Coturnix japonica: one gene and its partner. The main gene of each other region encodes a partner of the protein of the gene in region 2 in a complex. Links are inferred from orthologs where the notes say so. Each region holds a gene or a part of one and is shown on either strand. Other genes may lie near its edges.

Evidence for each region. The genes of interacting proteins can lie anywhere in the genome.
Region 1: the proteins of IRF2BP2 (region 2) and IRF2 are in contact, whole or in part, in a crystal structure (PDB 8YTG), measured with the Homo sapiens proteins. The link is inferred for Coturnix japonica from reciprocal best matches to the Homo sapiens genes IRF2BP2 and IRF2. Residues at the interface, in NP_892017.2 of Homo sapiens: His517, Phe518, Val519, Gln520, Pro522, Phe531, Leu557, Trp564, Ala565, Phe566, Met567, Glu570, Thr573, Ile574; in NP_002190.2 of Homo sapiens: Arg331, Ala332, Ser333, Val334, Ile335, Lys336.

The regions. Positions count from the first base shown.
Region 1 is NC_029519.1:35,012,458-35,020,748, forward strand, and holds the end of IRF2 (interferon regulatory factor 2), read left to right. Parts: intron 1-360; coding exon 361-525; intron 526-4,492; coding exon 4,493-4,539; intron 4,540-5,871; coding exon 5,872-6,183; 3' UTR 6,184-7,237; downstream 7,238-8,291. UniProt on the Homo sapiens protein: Specifically binds to the upstream regulatory region of type I IFN and IFN-inducible MHC class I genes (the interferon consensus sequence (ICS)) and represses those genes. Also acts as an activator for several genes including H4 and IL7.
Region 2 is NC_029518.1:34,497,327-34,506,188, forward strand, and holds IRF2BP2 (interferon regulatory factor 2-binding protein 2), read left to right. Parts: upstream 1-3,493; 5' UTR 3,494-3,804; coding exon 3,805-4,810; intron 4,811-4,963; coding exon 4,964-5,679; 3' UTR 5,680-8,496; downstream 8,497-8,862. UniProt on the Homo sapiens protein: Acts as a transcriptional corepressor in a IRF2-dependent manner; this repression is not mediated by histone deacetylase activities. Represses the NFAT1-dependent transactivation of NFAT-responsive promoters.

The DNA.
Region 1 (8,291 bases), on a different chromosome or scaffold from region 2:
ATTGCCACGGTCTTTGTGTCCTGGTAAGGAAAGAGCGTGGCTATGGTGTTCCCTAGGAAAGCATCAGGGTGTGTTGGGGTGGGCTCAAGGGCATTTTGAGTGGGAGCCAGGAAAGAGTTAGGCATTCTCAGTTGTCACAAGTGGAAAAGAAATTTCTGTGAAGGTGGTGGAAACTTAATAAATCACATAGTTTTCCTGTAGAAGTCCCACTGAAAGCAGGTGGTGGAAGTGGAAGAAAGTGCTGAGACTGTATTAAAGACTCCAGTTCATTCAAATACCAAGCTTGTCCTTGGAGCATGCTCTTAGATTCAACAGAGTTGATGTATTTTGAGTAATCATTTCTTTTCTTCTAACTCCCAGTTGTAGGACAGCCGCACCTTGATGGCAGCAGTGAGGAGCAGGTGATAGTTGCCAATCCTCCAGATGTTTGCCAGGTGGTAGAGGTGACAACAGAAAGTGATGAGCAGCCTCTCAGCATGAGCCAGCTGTACCCCCTACAGATCTCCCCTGTCTCGTCCTATGCAGGTAAGCATGCCCATGTTTCTTTAAGTTGCTTTTAAGAAATGTTTGAAAGACACTGAACTTTCTAAGGAGTGCCAGGCCCAGAGGCAGGGGTCTCTTGGGAAGGCTCTTTAAGGGCAGCTGGTACAGATATGGATTCAGTAATGTCTGTTCTGCTGACTTCTGTATTTTTAACTCAAAAACTCAGGGTCCTGTATAGTAATTTTACATTGGAAAGCAGCTCAACAGAGCTGAGGGTGGAAATACAAGCTGCAGTTTTTAGCCTGTGACTAAAGGAAAAAGAGCGGTTTTAGATGCAATGTAGAGAGGCCTTTTCATCTTTTATTAGAGGGACATTTTCAGTGGTACAAGTGATACGCTGCAAATATATTCTGCCTCCCCGACAGCCTGATCTTTTAAAGATAAGAGGTCATAATCTCTGCTGTATGTTTCCATGGTGCTTGGCATAGTGGGTACAGAGTGCTAAAGGCTGCATTAATGATATGTAATGCAAATGTGAATCTGAAGGCCCTGGGGGGCTGGATCTGTCTTGTTACAAATAGTCTGCAGACCAGAACATCTATGTCATGACTGATAAGAAGGGGTCTGTGGAAGTCTGGCTTCCAGTGTCTGTCTCCCATCTGGATTCTCTGATATCTAAAAAAAGGGTGAGATAACAAGCTTTCCCTTGAGTCAGGGTGCTAATGGTTTCTTGTTGTTATCTGGCCCATTATTTTCATAGAACTGGTAGGAAGTTAAGAGTCTTGGCCCTTATTTATCCCTTATCCAAGGCTGACAAGCTGTTCAGAAGCTGTTAGGGGAGAACAAACACAAATGTACACATAGGCATACCATAGAGTTCCTGCAATCATACAAGCCTTATTTCTATAGAAAGCAGGGCAAAACTGTGTTTAAAAGTAGGAAAAGTTTCATATTCAACCTGTCCTTCCTTTTTTAATGTGTTGCTAACTTGCAAGCTTCAGGAGATGGAGGCAAAAACAGAAATGTCATCTTCTTAGGCAAACTCGAGTATTGTTCCCACTGCAATTTATTATTTTATACACAGTTTTGCCTTTGACTCATTATGCTGAATTACTTCCAGATGCATTTTTATAAAATATGTATGTAGGAATTTTTATCTTTGGGTCTGGGTGAATATTATGATGTTCTGTTGAATAGCCTCCAATGTTAGTCTCAAACGTTGATACACGGTCATGCTTCCCCGTGTGTTTAGTCTGTAATGGTCAGAGCATTTAAAAGGGCTTTGCAAAGCATAAGGAGGGGTGCTTTAATTTACTAGCGGTGGGAGACAGGGCCTTTGAAACATTTGTCCTTGTTCCAAATGCTTCTTGCAAAACTGTTCCTGGCTGTGTAAAAGCAACAATGATGCTTTTTTTTGACCTCGGCTAAAGGGTCTAAGCTCTTGGAATGCAGACAGAAGTCACCATCTAGGTCTGAAAGTCACTGTAATTGCTTGGGCTGTGACAACAGAGAGGGATGATCTGGTGACAGGAGAATCGCCCTGACATGAGCAAGTCCTGAGTTACCTCTTCAAAAGTCAATGCGAGAAATCTACATAAATAGAATAACTGAAAAAAGACATAAAAAGAATGACTGAAGAACTTCTGCTATCCCCTTACACTGTCTTAGTATCCTTGTGGATTTCAGCTTTCCTAACTTGTATCAGGGCCTACTAAACCATTACTAAGATAGCACAGAAGATGATTTCATGCCACCAACATGTCTTTGAACGCATCCTGAGACAGGATGAAGATCCTGGTTACCCTAGCTGGGGAGCCAGTCAGATGTGGTGTGCTGCTAGAATCTGTGCTGGGACAAGTCCATTTTAATATCTTCATCAGTGAGCAGAAAAAGTGGTGGAATGCACAGGGTGTGTTCGGTCTGGTGAAGAGATGGTTTTGGTAACCTCGTAGCAGGCTGTCCACATCTACAGCAGTGTTATTGAGAAGGTTGAGCAAGGCTATTTCATGGTGGTGCACAGTGAGAAGTAAAAGGCAGAAATTGAAGCAATAGAACTTGGTCCAACTGAATATAAGAAAATATGTCGCTTTTTTCACCACAGGATTTTTCAGAACCCTGACATTTGTAGGTTATTCTCGTGGTGTTTATAGTTTTATCTTGTTATACACAAAACCATATAGATATGGAGTCCTAAACCTGCCCTTGTGACTCTTCTGAGTACAGTTGCCTACTCTGTCAGGTGCTACCACTAAGTGGCAGGAAAGAGGATGACCATAACAGCTGCACAGGAGCACTTAGTTTAGCTCTTCTGAAATAACAACAAAAAAAGTAGCCGTAGGTATCAGCTGTCCTACATAAATCTGCTTTATTTCAAAAACACCTCTAGTTCCTTTCTGAGGTTACACAGGCAAATGATATTTCTGGCCTTTATGAGTTTCCTCATATTTCCATTGACGTCTATGAAATCCATTTTTTTTAGTACCAAGGCTGTTCTTGTCAACCTCATCTTGTTTGACGCTGATTCAAATAACCTCCTTGATTCAAATGACCTCTCTCACTTTCCATACTGCAGTGGCTAGCTTCCATGGCTTTTCCTAACTATAGTGCTCTCTCTTGCTCAGCATTTTGTTATGTATAAACATCAAGGATGGATTCCTTTTCATCTACATCACTATTTTCTGTTGCCACATGCTTCCTCATGTCAAGGAATATCTTTCCTGTCTCTTGTGTGGATTCCTCCTATTGACTGTCTCTGGGGCCATTTCTCCTTTTGTACGGATTACTTTCTGCCTCTCCTTCCCCTTTCCCTTCCTCCTAGTCCAGCTTAATTAGCCAACTTTATCACGTTGTCACATCTCTCTATACCTTCGCCAGTGAATGAGGAGCCCTGCAGAGTGTTAACTTCATAGCACTTCACAGTTAGATCCTCTGCCTTGCTGCGTGTTGTGACTGGGTCTCTGGAGTAGGCAAGGTGCCAGCTATGGAAGTTAACGTGTTTAGCAGCTGAGCTGCCTGCTTACTTATTTCAGCAGGACTTTGAGTGCAGTTTAGATCCTTGGGTCTGAAAGAACAACTGAGCCCATGAGTTTGTGGCCCTTTGCCTAAACCTGGTCCTTAGCTGAGCCTATGGGGAAGAGCAGGGAGTTGCCAGTCTTTCTGGAGACCTGTGTGGAGGTCATCTGGTCCTGCCACTTGCTCAAGTAGGGCCACCTAGAGCGCTCGAAAATACAGTGGGGCTCAGGCTCTTCTGCAAGCAAAGGCTGAGGCTGCAGGAGGGTGGCCATCCTCGTGGAGCTGCTGCCCTGTCCCCCAATGCAGAAGGGTGGCAGTGTGTCTCTGTTCTCTGTTTGGAGGTAGGAGGTGCTGGGGCTGCCCTGCTGTGGTGCAGGAGGTAATTGCATTTGTCTGTGCTGGAGTGGTGGGCAGAGGGATGAGATATAGAGCAGGGGGCAGGGCAAAACTGACATAAGAGCAAAGTGTAACAGCAGTAATAAAGTGCAAGAACTGATAACAAAGTCTTGAAGTGGCAAACTGAGATAACAGTTCATGAAACATACCACACTTATCTCCTCTAGGGTGGTGTTGTTGATGGTTTTGCAGGGACATAAAAATAAGGATTTGCAGAGGACTTTGCTCATAACTGGCCTCGAGCCACCAAGAGCAGGAAAAGGGAAGAGGGGGCATTCCCCACTGGCAGTAGTTTCTCTCTGCCCAGAAGTATGAGCAATAACACTGACCTGCTTCTTCCACCTCTGCTGCAGTCTATTCCAGAGTGTATCCAGATTAACCATGATAACCACATGAATTTACTCCATAGTTCCATGGTACTGTGTTGTCTGACCTTTAGATTACTTTACAGGGGATACATAGTTTACTATTCTTTTCTGATTGTTTGGCTTGACTATGTTTGCTTGTGCTTGCTTGAAGTGAATCATGCCTCTTGAGCTGGATTTTGCTACTGTAGATAACATTACTTGGGTTTCATTTTTGCCTCTGTTTTACTTGACAGAAAGTGAAACGACCGACAGCGTTCCAAGCGATGAAGAAAATGCAGAGGTAAGTGTTTTCTGCATTTTTGAATGCTTTGGAGCAAAATCTCCAAGTAGTGTCCTGTGGTATTCTTTCCACTTCTACATTTGCAACTGTCTGCTAGTGGAGCGTTCCTGTTTAATAGCTGAGGGAGAAAGAAAAAGTAGGAAGCTTCTGGGGAGACAAATGCTGGGATGATTTTCAAGCAGAACAGATATCTCTGCAAGTTCATTCCTCCTCATCTGTCGAAGCTACAAGGAGGTTGATTTTCATGAGATTATACTCTGTAGAGCCATCAGCAGTGCCAGCTAGTTTGTTAATATGGAGCAAACTATCGAACCTTGTCATGCATGTGTGTGCTTGTGTACGCTGCATTGACGTTGCAGCGTACACAAGCACACACATGCATGACAAGCACACAAGCACACACATGCACACACATGCACACACATGCATGACAAGCGTACACAAGCACACACATGGGTAGTGAGTATTTTATCTCAGCTGAAAACATCCTCGCTTTGTTCTCCTTAAATGGCATGTGAACTCGTACAATTGGAGGAAATGCTTACACGTGTGATAGAAATACAACTTGAATGTTTGAGGTGTGTGAGGCCAAAAGCTTTCCTGAGCGGGCAAGACTGAGTTAGCACACAGCAAGAGCTACCTTCTGTCTGCATGGTTATAATAGTGTTTATTCCTCTGCCTTGGACCAGAGGAATGTTCCTACTCCCATGAGCAGGTGGAAAATAAGGTATCTGTGAGAGTTCATGGCACAAGGAAGAGAGAAAAGTGTAGAAATGCCCCAACTACTGCACCAATGGTGGCTGAGGTGGGGGCTCCCCATCTCCCCATACCTAGTGAAAACCCTCCTTTGACAGGATGTGCCACTGCAGTATGTGTGATGGGGAAAGGACAGGATGCTTAATCCCTGTGATGAGTGGACATGCTACCAAGGGATTTTCCTGGCAGCTTTACCTCTGATGGCAGAGCTTTTGAGTCTCTGTGCCAGCTCTCCCCAGTAATGGAGGAGACTTCAGTTTGAAGCTCTTGAGGTTTAGGTCACCTATGTCGAATTTTGTCAATGGCATATTGTGTATAAGGTCTTTATTTTCCATCAGAGGAATAGGCAGCGTGTTTTGAGTGCTGGAGAGCCACCAGGGTTAGGATACAGGACTTATAAAGGGAGAACTGACAAAGAGCAAAGACATTCAAAGCCAGCTGCTGGTGACTCAGGCTTTTAGAGATGGGGCAACTCCTTTGCAGTTTGTGGATATTTCTGTCTTCATCTTACTGCTGGCAGTTTGCAAAGCGCATTCACTCACGCAGTCTTTCTTCGTTCTTCTTCCCCCTTCATAGGGACGACTTCATTGGCAGAAGAAAAACATTGAAGGCAAACAGTATCTCAGCAATCTGGGAATGCGGAACACTTCTCATATGCTTCCCAGCATGGCTACTTTTGTAGCCAACAAGCCTGACCTCCAGGTCACCATCAAAGAAGAAAGCTGCCCGCTGCCTTACAACAGCTCCTGGCCCCCTTTCCCAGACATCCCTCTGCCACAAGTAGTGTCCACAGCCTCCACGAGCAGCAGCCGGCCAGACCGCGAGACACGGGCTAGCGTCATCAAGAAGACGTCAGACATCACCCAGTCAAGAGTCAAGAGCTGCTAAGCCTTTGACAGTGTGTTTTTTAGCTTTGTTTTGTTTGGTTTTGTATTTTACGTTTCTCTAGGAGAGGTTCAACCCTTGACGCACATTAGACAAATCTAAGGTAAAGAAAGCCTTGGCAATATAAAACATTGCTGTGTCTGACTCCAGTGCCGGAGTGTTTTTAACTCAGGACTCCAGCCGTCAGTGTGTACATCTGAACCCAGGTGGACTTGCAAGGTTGCTACGTAGGAAAATAAAACAAGAACTTTGGCCCACTTGCAGGTTTCAGTGTTTCATAAGAGGACCAACTGACCACAAGGGAAGTGGTGCTGCTGCGCTTCTTGCTGTCAAGGCTGTGATGGAACTGAAAGCCTCAGAATGGAAGAGAAAATGTGAACTAGCTGGAATATTTTTAAATAAAAAAAAAAAAATTCTATTGTGAATATTGTACATAGTGCAGTACTAGCAACGTTGCAGTCTGCTTCTGCACCTTATTAAGAAAGCACTTACAAAAGGCCTTTTATTACCTTGCTCTACTTAATGGCACATTGAAGGTCCCTCCCCACCTGTATTCTTTTCCAAGGCTATTCTTGCTAACGTGTCTTTAAAGAATAGTGGAAAGGAAAGAAAGTTAAAACTTCCCATGTGGATTTCATACATTTTAAGACTGCTTTTCTCGTGTTTGTTTTCTAATCTGCTATGCTTGAATGCCGCGTGGTACAATAGGGAAAAAAGAAACTATTACAGAGATGTTATGCAAATTCCCAGATTTAAGAAAAAAAAGAAGAATACTCTAATTCTAACCAGAGCAAGCTTTTTTATTTTTTATACAGGGGAATATTTTATTCAAAATAAAATTCTAAAGTGAATATAATTTTTTTTAATCTTTTCTACAGCAAATTTATAATTTTAAGATTCAATCCTTGGTTATCAGCAGTTATTACATCCTTGTGGCACATTTGTTTTTGTTTTTTTTTAATTTTGTAAAGGTGAAATAGCTTTTATGAGCTCATGTAGCAATCAGATTATCCTGTGGATTGATAATAAATATGGTATATAGTTAAATTTTTAATAACCCTCTTGTTTGTCTCTCTTTTCTAATCTTTCAGAAGCCGCAGATGGTGTGGGTGTTTGATAGGTGGATATGAAGGCTCAGAGCGAACTATTAGCATGAGCCACCTTTACAGTTTCTGTAGCGCTCATCTGACAGAGTGGGAAGTGCTCTGCTCAAGACATCTTGAGGTGCAAAGAGGAACTAGTGCTTAATGGCAACCAGCTCAAGTTTGGCCTCACGTGCACAGGTTGGGAACTGCAGAACCTCTCCTGATGCTATTCCATGGTTTAGCTTTGAGGAAAGCATCTCATTGAAGGGAACTTCAGGGTGTTCATCTGCGGCCTCGTGTGGGCACAGCTGAGCTCGCCCCATTCCTGGTAGATAACTGTTTAGTTTGCTCTCAGTTTACTTGTTTCAGTAGCAGTTTCTTATTAGTAGAATGAATCAGAAGTCAAGTGAATACTCGAAGCAGACATTCTCCATCTGTTGCATGATGGCAAATTCTGATTTCTCTGGTTTGGGTGAATGGCTTGGGTTGGAAGGAAGTTCAAAGACCATCTAGTTCCAAGTCCCCCTGCTGCTGACAGGGTTGCCAACTGCTAGATCGAATCCCAGATCTGGCTACCCAGGGCCCATCCAAACTGGCCTTAAAGGCTTCCAGGGGCAGGACATTCACAGCCTTTTTGGGCAGTCTGTGCCAGCACATTACCACCGCATCTGTGAAAAACTTTCCATTGACATCTAATCTAAATCTCCCCTCAATCTGTATCTAATGAGAGGGTGTGTAGCAGCTTGCAGAATTGCATGGCGGTAGTAGACAAACCATGCCATTGATCCTGTGAACACAAGGTGATAGCCCAAAGTGTGATGTGTAGCTTCAAGTGTGGTTGTCTCAACTGCTGAGTACATATGGAGCGTTGTGTATATTTGTCTGATGAGGTAATAGGCACAAAATTGGCTGTATCAAAGGAAGATGTACGAACTGGCTATTTAATAGGCTCAGGTTCTGGCCAGTAGAATGTTCCTGTGTTCTTAATCTGATGCTGCAATTTCAAATTTCATCACAAGTCTGCAT
Region 2 (8,862 bases):
ATCACCTATGAGTTTGGCTGTGCTTCCTGGTAGGCACCTCCTTCTGGAGCTCAGCAGGGTGTTGGCGCATTAGGGATGCAGGTGAATACAAGAGGGATGACTCTGATTTTTGCAGCTCTGCTAGTGATGTTTACAAGTGTATCACTGGTGCCTAAACTTGTCAGTATTTCTCCTTAGTGTCACTGCACGGCAGTACACTATGCATAGGACTGAATACCCAAGTTGATAAAAACACCCTATTTACCTGTTTTTACTTAGTCTAAGAGACAGCACTGAGCAAAAAGGTGAGGCTGGGGACTGAGCACAGAGCAGCACCTTTGTCCCCATGCTGGCTGCCCAAAGGGGGGATGGGGAAGGAGGCAGCGATGGCAGCCAGAAACTAATTTCACTGCACTTTATGTTTCCTCAGATTGGGGAGTGCTTTTGTTAGCTCCTGTTATGTCAGAAAATGTAAATAACATGACTGCATCGATGGGCAGAAGAACATGGTCACCCATTGAGCCGCAGTACGGTGAGCCCATGGGGTCACGGCCTTCTGGTCTTCCTGTTGGTGCTGGGCCAGGGTTGCCCAGCCATGCTAACACACCCCAGGCAGCTCCCAGCCGGTCTGTCCCCCTGTACCCCACAGACAATCGCCCATTGTGGCTTGTAGCAGAGGGCAGCCAACACGGTGTCGGTGGGAGCGTCCAACAGCTATTTACCAGGCTGAAGAGAGCAGGCGGAAGATTTTCCACATCAATTGCCCTTTCTTCTGGCATCTGGAATCGTCCCTCTGAAGTTTTTATTTCCCTTCTGAGTGTAGTAACCTCTGAATTTCTCAAGTATTTCCATCATCTTTTCCTTGCTGTCTTTTTTTTCCACTGCTACTTGAAACGAGGGTGTGAAGTCAAGTGCTCAGTTAAAAACAGAATCATTTCCTTCTTATTTTTTTTTTTTTAAACCACACCATTTTGGCTCCAAATTGCCCGGGGTAGAGCCCACCAAAGCAGCAGAAGCTGCAGCACTGATGCTTTTGCTCACACCACTACTCGTGGAATCAGAGAATCAGAGAATAGCCCAAGTTGGATCTTGCATGTATTCATGCACCCAAAACTTCTATGACAAAAATGAAATAACCACGTCCACCTCCCCTGTCTGTGCATGGACACACACACATGCTGACAACAGGCTGCTCCATCAGTGTCCCTCTGCCAGCAGCAGTAGTTGCATGTCACAAGGCAGCATTTCTGCAGTCAGCAGCACTGGGGAGCAGTGTTGGCGGTATGCTGTGCACCATGAGCATGGCTGCTTGTCCAGCAATTGTCCTGTAGGTAAAATTAGGAGTGGCTGCTGGTGTTTGTAGCATTGTCTATAAGTCTGTGTACGTCAACAGGCTGCTCCTGATGGCAGCATTGTGTACATCAGTACTTTCTTCCCATATTAAACACAAAATGGTTGGACAGACATATTTCTTTGGGACCAGTACTGATGTGAGAGCAGGACTCTACTGCACCTCTCCCTTCCTTCCCTGCACTGTGGCACTGGGTCAGGGCTCCCCATGGCATGGGGCTCCCCTGTGGCAGGGCCCCCCGGCTGGGCATGCCCGCAGGCCACAGGCTTCTGCAGAGCCCCTATATATATATATATATATATATATATATATAGCCTCGCCATGTCATCGCCGGGGTGTTCCACAGAAAGCAGGCACAAAAGGATGGTTTCTGTTTCAAAATAAATAAATAAATAAATATTAAGAAAGAAAAAAAAAGGAACGAGAAACAAACGCACGATCTGTTTTATTCTTGTGCAGCGACTGCATGACGGCAGCTCTGCAGATTTGTGTGTGTGTGTGTGTGATTTGATTCTTAAATCACATTTCCTACGCCGCTATTTTTTATCTGCTTTTTGACACCGAGAGCTGCAACGCTCTCTACCAGAGAGCTGCCTCTTCTACCAGAATAGATGCAAATGCAGCAGAACCCAAATGCTGCCCATAGTGGCTCTGACCAGCCTGATTCGATCAGAAACCAAGTTAAATAAATAGGGGTCACACTCCCCGTCCTGCACTCACTGAAAGCTGTGCTTTCTCCCTCCCTGCAGCCGGGCTCTCTCCGAGCTGTGCTCCCCATGCGCAGTGTGCAAACACACAGCTCCTTGGCTTCCCACCAGTGTATATAAATATATGCAGTTATTTTTTTATTTTTTTTTTTCCTTCGCAAAACCTGGAGGCTAAAGCGAGAGGGCAAAGGAGTACGTGACTAAAACATCCAAACTTCCTCTTTCATAAGCCATCACATGATGCAGTGCAATTACAATTCCTGCCTTGTCCCTGCCAATTGCAGGCGCATTGCCTCACCCGACAAACCCGGCTGTGCATGTGTGTGTGTGTATATGTGTGTGTGTATGAGTGTGGAGGCAGCAATCGCTGCAACCGCCTTGGCACGCCTCCATCTCCGGGCTGGAGAAAGAGGGCAGTGGGTGGAAGACGAAAACAAGATGTGTTTACTTAGCATGCAGGGATAAAGCGACTTTCCAGCCGGGAGGGGGTGCACGGAACAGCCTTACAGCGCTTTGATGCTACGAGAAAGGAGGGCCGCGCTGCGGAGCCGCGTTAACCCCCGCCTGGCCGTGGGGCACGATCCGCTCGGGGCTCTCCCGGTGCCTGAATCGCATCCCAGGTCCGCAGCCCCGGGAGCGCCGCAGGCACCGCCCCGCCGAGCCCCGCAAACGTCACAGCTCCCCCGGGTGTCCCCGCTGCCTGCTCGCCCCCCCTTCCCTCCCCCGTAACCTACATAACGCGGCGGGGAGGGCCGTGCCCGCCTGCGGGACGTGGCGAGGGGGACGTTGCCCCTCGCGGTGCCGCTGTGCGGGGACGGAGCGGAACGCCCGTGCCGTGCTTGAGCTGCGCGGGTTGTGCTCGTCCGCCTTAGAGAGCGGAGGGTTTGTGGTTGCAAACGACAGGAAATCTCGAGCGTCCTATTTCCTGCGTGCAGTGACAACAGTTAGAAAAAAAAAAATAAAGAAAAAAATAACAATACGGGCGATGGTTTTATTTACCCACGACGCCCCTCCCGCCCGGGCCCAGTAGGGGACGGGGGCAGCCCCAGGGTCACCGGGGGGGGGTCGGGGGCGACCGAGCTCAGCGACCCCGCGGCGCTCAGCCCGCACCGCACGCGGTGACCCCGCCGGTGCCGAGCGGGAGGCTCGGGGCCGCGCTCAGCCCGCTCCGCTCCGCGTGGCCGGCGCTGGGCTCCCCCGGCGGCGGGCGGAACCCCCGGGGCCGGGCCGGGGGCGCGGGCAGAGCCGGGGCCGGGAGCGCGGCGGCGGCGTGGTTGGCGTTGTTGGGGCGGGGGCGCCCATCGCGCAGGCGCGGCGGCACTGTCGAAGAATCGAGGCGGCGGCGCGCAGAGGCGGCGGTGGCGGCTGGAACGCGGCACGGCCCCGGCCCCGGCCCCGGCCCCGGCCCCGGCCCCGGCCCCGGCCCCAGCCCCGGCCCCGCCCCGCCGCGCCGCCCCGTAGTAGCCAGCGAGCGGGGGAGCCGTGCGGGCGGCAGCGGCCGCAGCCCTGCGCCAGGCGCGCCGCGAAGATGCGCGTCCCCGCCGCGCTGTGAGCGCCGCCGGCGGAGACGGACGAGGGAGCGGCGGCCCCCGGAGCGGCTCCGCTCGCCGGGGCGCGGAAGAGGAAGGCGAGGGGGAGGGGGCCGCGCCGACGGTCCCGCGGCGCCCGAGCCGCCCCGTCGGCCGTCCGGTGGCGAGGGGCGGAGGAGGAGGAGGCGGCGGCCGGAGCCGGAGCGGGGGGCGCTCGCCGCCGCCCCGGGGCCGGGACATGTCGTCGGCGGCGGTGGCGGCTGCTTCCCGCAGGCAGTCGTGCTACCTGTGCGACCTGCCCCGCATGCCCTGGGCCATGATCTGGGACTTCACCGAGCCCGTGTGCCGGGGCTGCGTCAACTACGAGGGCGCCGACCGCGTGGAGTTCGTCATCGACACGGCGCGGCAGCTGAAGCGGGCGCACGGCTGCTTCGCCGAGGGCCGGGCCCCGCCGCCGCCGCACGCCAAGCAGCCGCCGCTCTCCGCCAAGGAGCTCCTGGCGCAGCAGCAGCAGCTCGGCCACCCCGCGGCGGCGGCGGCGGCGGCAGCGCCCCCGCCGCAGCCCCAGGAGCGCCACCCGCTGGCCGCCGAGCGGCCGCCGCCTCGCCTGGGCGCCGAGTACGGCGGCGGACGGCAAGTGAACGGCATCCTGGTGCCCAACGGCTTCCCCAAGCCCGAGGAGCCGCCCGAGCTCAACCGGCAGAGCCCCAACCCGCGCCGGACGCACGCCGTGCCGCCCACTCTGGTGCCGCTGGTGAACGGCGCCGGGCTCCCCGCCGCCATCGGAGGCCTGGGCGGCCGAGCCGCCGCCGCCGCCGCCTCGCTGGCCGCCATCTCGGCCGCGCCCGCCCCGCTGGCCGTGCCCGTGCCCCAGCAGCCGGCGGCGGCGGCGCAGGCGGCGGCGGGGCAGCCCGGAGAGCTGGGCCACAAGCGGCCCGGCTCCGTCTCGTCCTCGTCGTCGGGCGGCGGCGGCGCGGCGGGGGAACACGACGGAGGGAGCAAGGAGAAGCGCGGATCGGCGGAGAGCGTGCCGGCCACGGCAGAGATGGGCAACGACGGCAAGAGCCGGGCGGGCGGCGAGGAGTGGCTGGCCAAGCCCAAGACGGTGCGGGACACGCTGCTGGCCCTGCACCAGCACGGCGGGCACGCGGTGCCGCCCTTCGACAGCAAGTTCAAGAAGGAGCCGGGCATGGCGGGCGGCAGGATGCTGGGATACGAGAGCAACGGGGCCGCGGCCAAGCCGGGTGAGGAGCGGGACCGGGGCGGGAGGAGGGGGGCGAGTGCGGGGCCGGGGCGGACGGGGCCGCGTGTGTGCGCGTGTTACGGTGATCTGGCACGTTTCGGTGGCGGTGCTTGGCCGCCTTGTCGCCCCTCTGACTCTCTCCCTCCCTTTCCAGGGGCCCGCGCAGCCCGGAAGAGGAAGCCGTCCCCCGAGCCGGAGGGCGAGGCGGGACCCCCGAAGATCAACGGGGAGGCGCAGCCCTGGCTGCCGGCCGCGTCCGAAGGGATGAAGATGCCGCTGACGGCCACGTCCTTCATGTCGCCCCCGCCGCCCACCGCCTCGCCCCACTCCAACCGGACCACGCCGCCCGAGGCGGCCCAGAACGGCCAGTCCCCCATGGCCGCGCTCATTTTGGTGGCGGACAATGCCGGGGGCAACCACGCCTCCAAGGAGGCCAACCAGGTCCACTCCACCACCAGGAGGAACAGCAGCAGCCCCCCCTCGCCCTCCGCCATGAACCAAAGAAGGCTGGGTGCCGGCAGGGAGGTGCCGGGCCAGGGGGGCAGCGCGGCGGGCGGGCTGGAGCCCGTGCACCCCGCCAGCCTGCCGGACTCGTCCCTCGCCGCCAGCGTCCCCTTGTGCTGTACCCTGTGCCACGAGCGCCTGGAAGACACCCACTTCGTGCAGTGCCCTTCCGTCCCGTCCCACAAGTTCTGCTTCCCTTGCTCCCGGCAGAGCATCAAGCAGCAGGGGGCCAGCGGAGAGGTGTACTGCCCCAGCGGGGAGAAGTGCCCCCTGGTCGGCTCCAACGTGCCCTGGGCCTTCATGCAGGGGGAGATCGCCACCATCCTGGCCGGGGATGTGAAAGTGAAAAAGGAGAGAGACTCGTGACTGTGCTGGCCCAGCGCCGCCCGTCGCCCAAACTGCTCCGGTTCTGTATATATCTATAAATATATATATATAAATATATATATATCTCCAAGACAAGGGAAATGTAGACTTCATAAACATGGCTGTATAATTTTGATTTTTTTGAATACATTGTGTTTCTATATTTTTTGAAGACAAAAGGTATGTACTTATTATAAAGGCATTTCTTCTAATTCTCTTTTTTTTTTTCCTCCCGTCCTTCCCCCCCATCCCCACTCCCCTCCCCCCGCTTTCCCCCCTCCCCTTTTGTTATAGCAACTATTTGTTGTGCTTCCCTGGTGACAATTACTGTTCGATGTAGGCTGTGACTTGCGCTGCTTTTTTTAGAGCACTTGGCAAACGAGAAATGCTTCTAGCTGTATTTGTATGCACTTGTTTCCTTTTCCTTTTTTTTTTTCTTTTTTTTTTTTTCTCTCTCTTTTTTTTTTTTTTAATGCCAAATACACTTTCTGACATTGTAAAGATCGCCTTACTGTCTGTGATTTCCTTATTGCTGCCCCCTGCTTCTGTAGGGCTGGGGGCAGGCGGGCGCATGGAGCACTAAGGGCTCCTCCCGGGAGCGGCTGTCCGCCTCGTGTGGCCGTGCCGGACCCAGGCCAAAATTCCTCCGTGTTTCTCAAGGGAAGTTGCCTTTGGAGTAGGATGTGGAGAGGTGTTGGAGAGGCGCTGTTGAGTTATAGGGATTTCTGGGTTGGTTTGTTTCTGTTGGGGTTTTTTTTTTTCTTCTTGTTTTTTTTTTTTTTTTTTTTTAAGGCAAAGTTGACCGCAGTTCACGTGATCAGTTGTAAGATTACAGAACTACGCCTGTTGACCAATTGCGTACTCTAACGTGGAACTGTGATAGCCAACCTTATGACATGATTGGTGACTGCACCGCTGTAGCACTGCCGTCTCTGAAGGCCTTCAGCATTGGGGTTTTTTTTGGTCTTTGGACAGTGCTGGGGAGGTGGGAGAAAGGCTGTTTTGTTTTGTTTTTCCTTTCTAATTTTACTTTAATTTTCAGATAGTGCAGGTGGACTTTTGAATTTGCTTATCAGTCACCTCCGGTACTGTTGCTTTTGTTACTATCGCTGACACGGTGTTTCCAAGTAGTGGCAGGTACAGCGTGGTACAATGACAGCAGCAACTGAGGCTCTGCCAGATTGCCTGCAGGCATATCAGCGACAGCCCAAAAAGTGGGTGGAGGAAACCTGCAATTTCCTTATTACGTGTGCTTGAAACAAACCTACTGCTATTCTTTGAAAATGAAAACATAAACTGGTTGAAATGAAAGCAATTAGGGCTTCACATAATTGCCATGGCCCTGACTTTTAAGCTACTTTGGAGAACTCTTTTGTAAAGCCACTTCTTTTGATCACGCTTCTGCATCACCAAGCAGACTTCTAAAATCAATAAATCATTGGTTACTAGAAATAGTTGAGTCTTATAGTGATGTTTTTGTGCTGTTTATAGTTCGTTGGCAACGCTGCAGCTGGATGAGCCCTTCTGTTGAGGTGTTTATAACTGGGTTATAAGAGGTTGTTTCTGAGCGAAGGGGTGGCGAGGTCGTCCCAGCCCTGGGATGGGCTAATGAGCACTTGGTGCCCAAGGAAGAGGAGAAATCTGTTCAGCTGACGTAAATTTGAACAATTTTGGGTGCTTTTGAGTCAACTGTTCTTATTGTGATAATGTTCAGACTGCAGTTTAATGCAGAGTAGCTCTTTTCTGGAAGACTTTTTTTTTCTCTCTCTCTAAAGAAATGGTCATTATTAGTATTTGAAGATCAGAACTGCACACGCACAGTAATTTTTTTTTTTTTTTTATGAAGTGTTTAATGAGCACACCCACTACATTGTGTTCCATATTACAGGTCAATGTAATATTAGATAAGACTTGCATGATAAACAGATTCATTGACTCGATATTACGCTTTAAATCTTATACCTATAGTCAAGATTGGTGTCCTATGTAAACACATTTAGCCAATTTGAAGAAAACGCACATTATATATATATACCTATATATATTCCTATATATATAAAAACTGTAAAGGATTCTTTGGAACCACTATGATCTGTGTAAATGTGTATTTAGGCACTTTATTAAAAAAAGAAAAATGGATTTTGAGCTGATAGATGGTAACAAGTTCTTCAGAGTTGCTTGGCATGATACCTCTGTGGTGTGGAGCTCATGTTTTTTTGATTAAGGTGGTATTTCTACTTTAAAACCAAAAATGAAAACACCAACACATCCCTTCAGAGGTCCCCTTCTAAGTTACATGGCGGCCTAGCGTGAGGGCTGGGCCTGCTTTGACAAACAGGGCCTCCTTACGGCCCGCTGACACAGGCATGGCCAGTCCTGAAGTCAAAACCCTCCTCCCCCTGCCTCCTGCAGCCCCTGAGGTGGAGGAGATGATGGAGGGTCCTGCAGCCCCTGAGGTGGAGGAGATGATGGAGGGTCTGGTACCAGAGCCCACGTGGTGGGTCTGCAGGCCCCTCTAAGCCTGGTCACCATAAAGCTGCAAGATTGCAAAAGGAAACAAGCTAAAATCTGAGGGGTTTTATTCTTGTATCTCGTTTTTTCTCAAATTCAGTGTTGCTTTTTTCCTCTCTGCTGTGTTACTGAGTTACAACACCAGTGGATTCTCCATTTACAACACTTCACTATTTCCTGGGCTACAGGCTTTTTTTCTTTCCTTTTTTTAAGTGCTTTGGCTGCAACAGTGCTACTTACCTTACTCTTTAAACTTTTTAAAAGGTGATACTGTAATTTGTGTAGTATTAAACATGTTTTACTTAAGAGTGAGTGATTTATATTTATTTTTTTGAACCCGCTTTTTTTTTTTTAAGGATACTTTTTTCTTCTTTTTTGCTGGCAATTCACCTGTACACAAGGTACTTTTATTTATAGCTACTGAACTAATATTGTAATTTTCACTTTTTCCCCCCTCTTCACTTCTGGCATAAAATACAAGGAAGCTGAGAGCTTTAAACACTTATGCTTTTAAATATATATATATATATATACACACACACACACACACATTATATATACTTATAAAAATATACATAAAACCAAAAGCTACAGCTGTCAAAGAGCAATATTTAAATTTTTTAAGTCCTGTTTCTGTCATTGTGGATAGGTTAAAGCACAGAGGGGGGCACG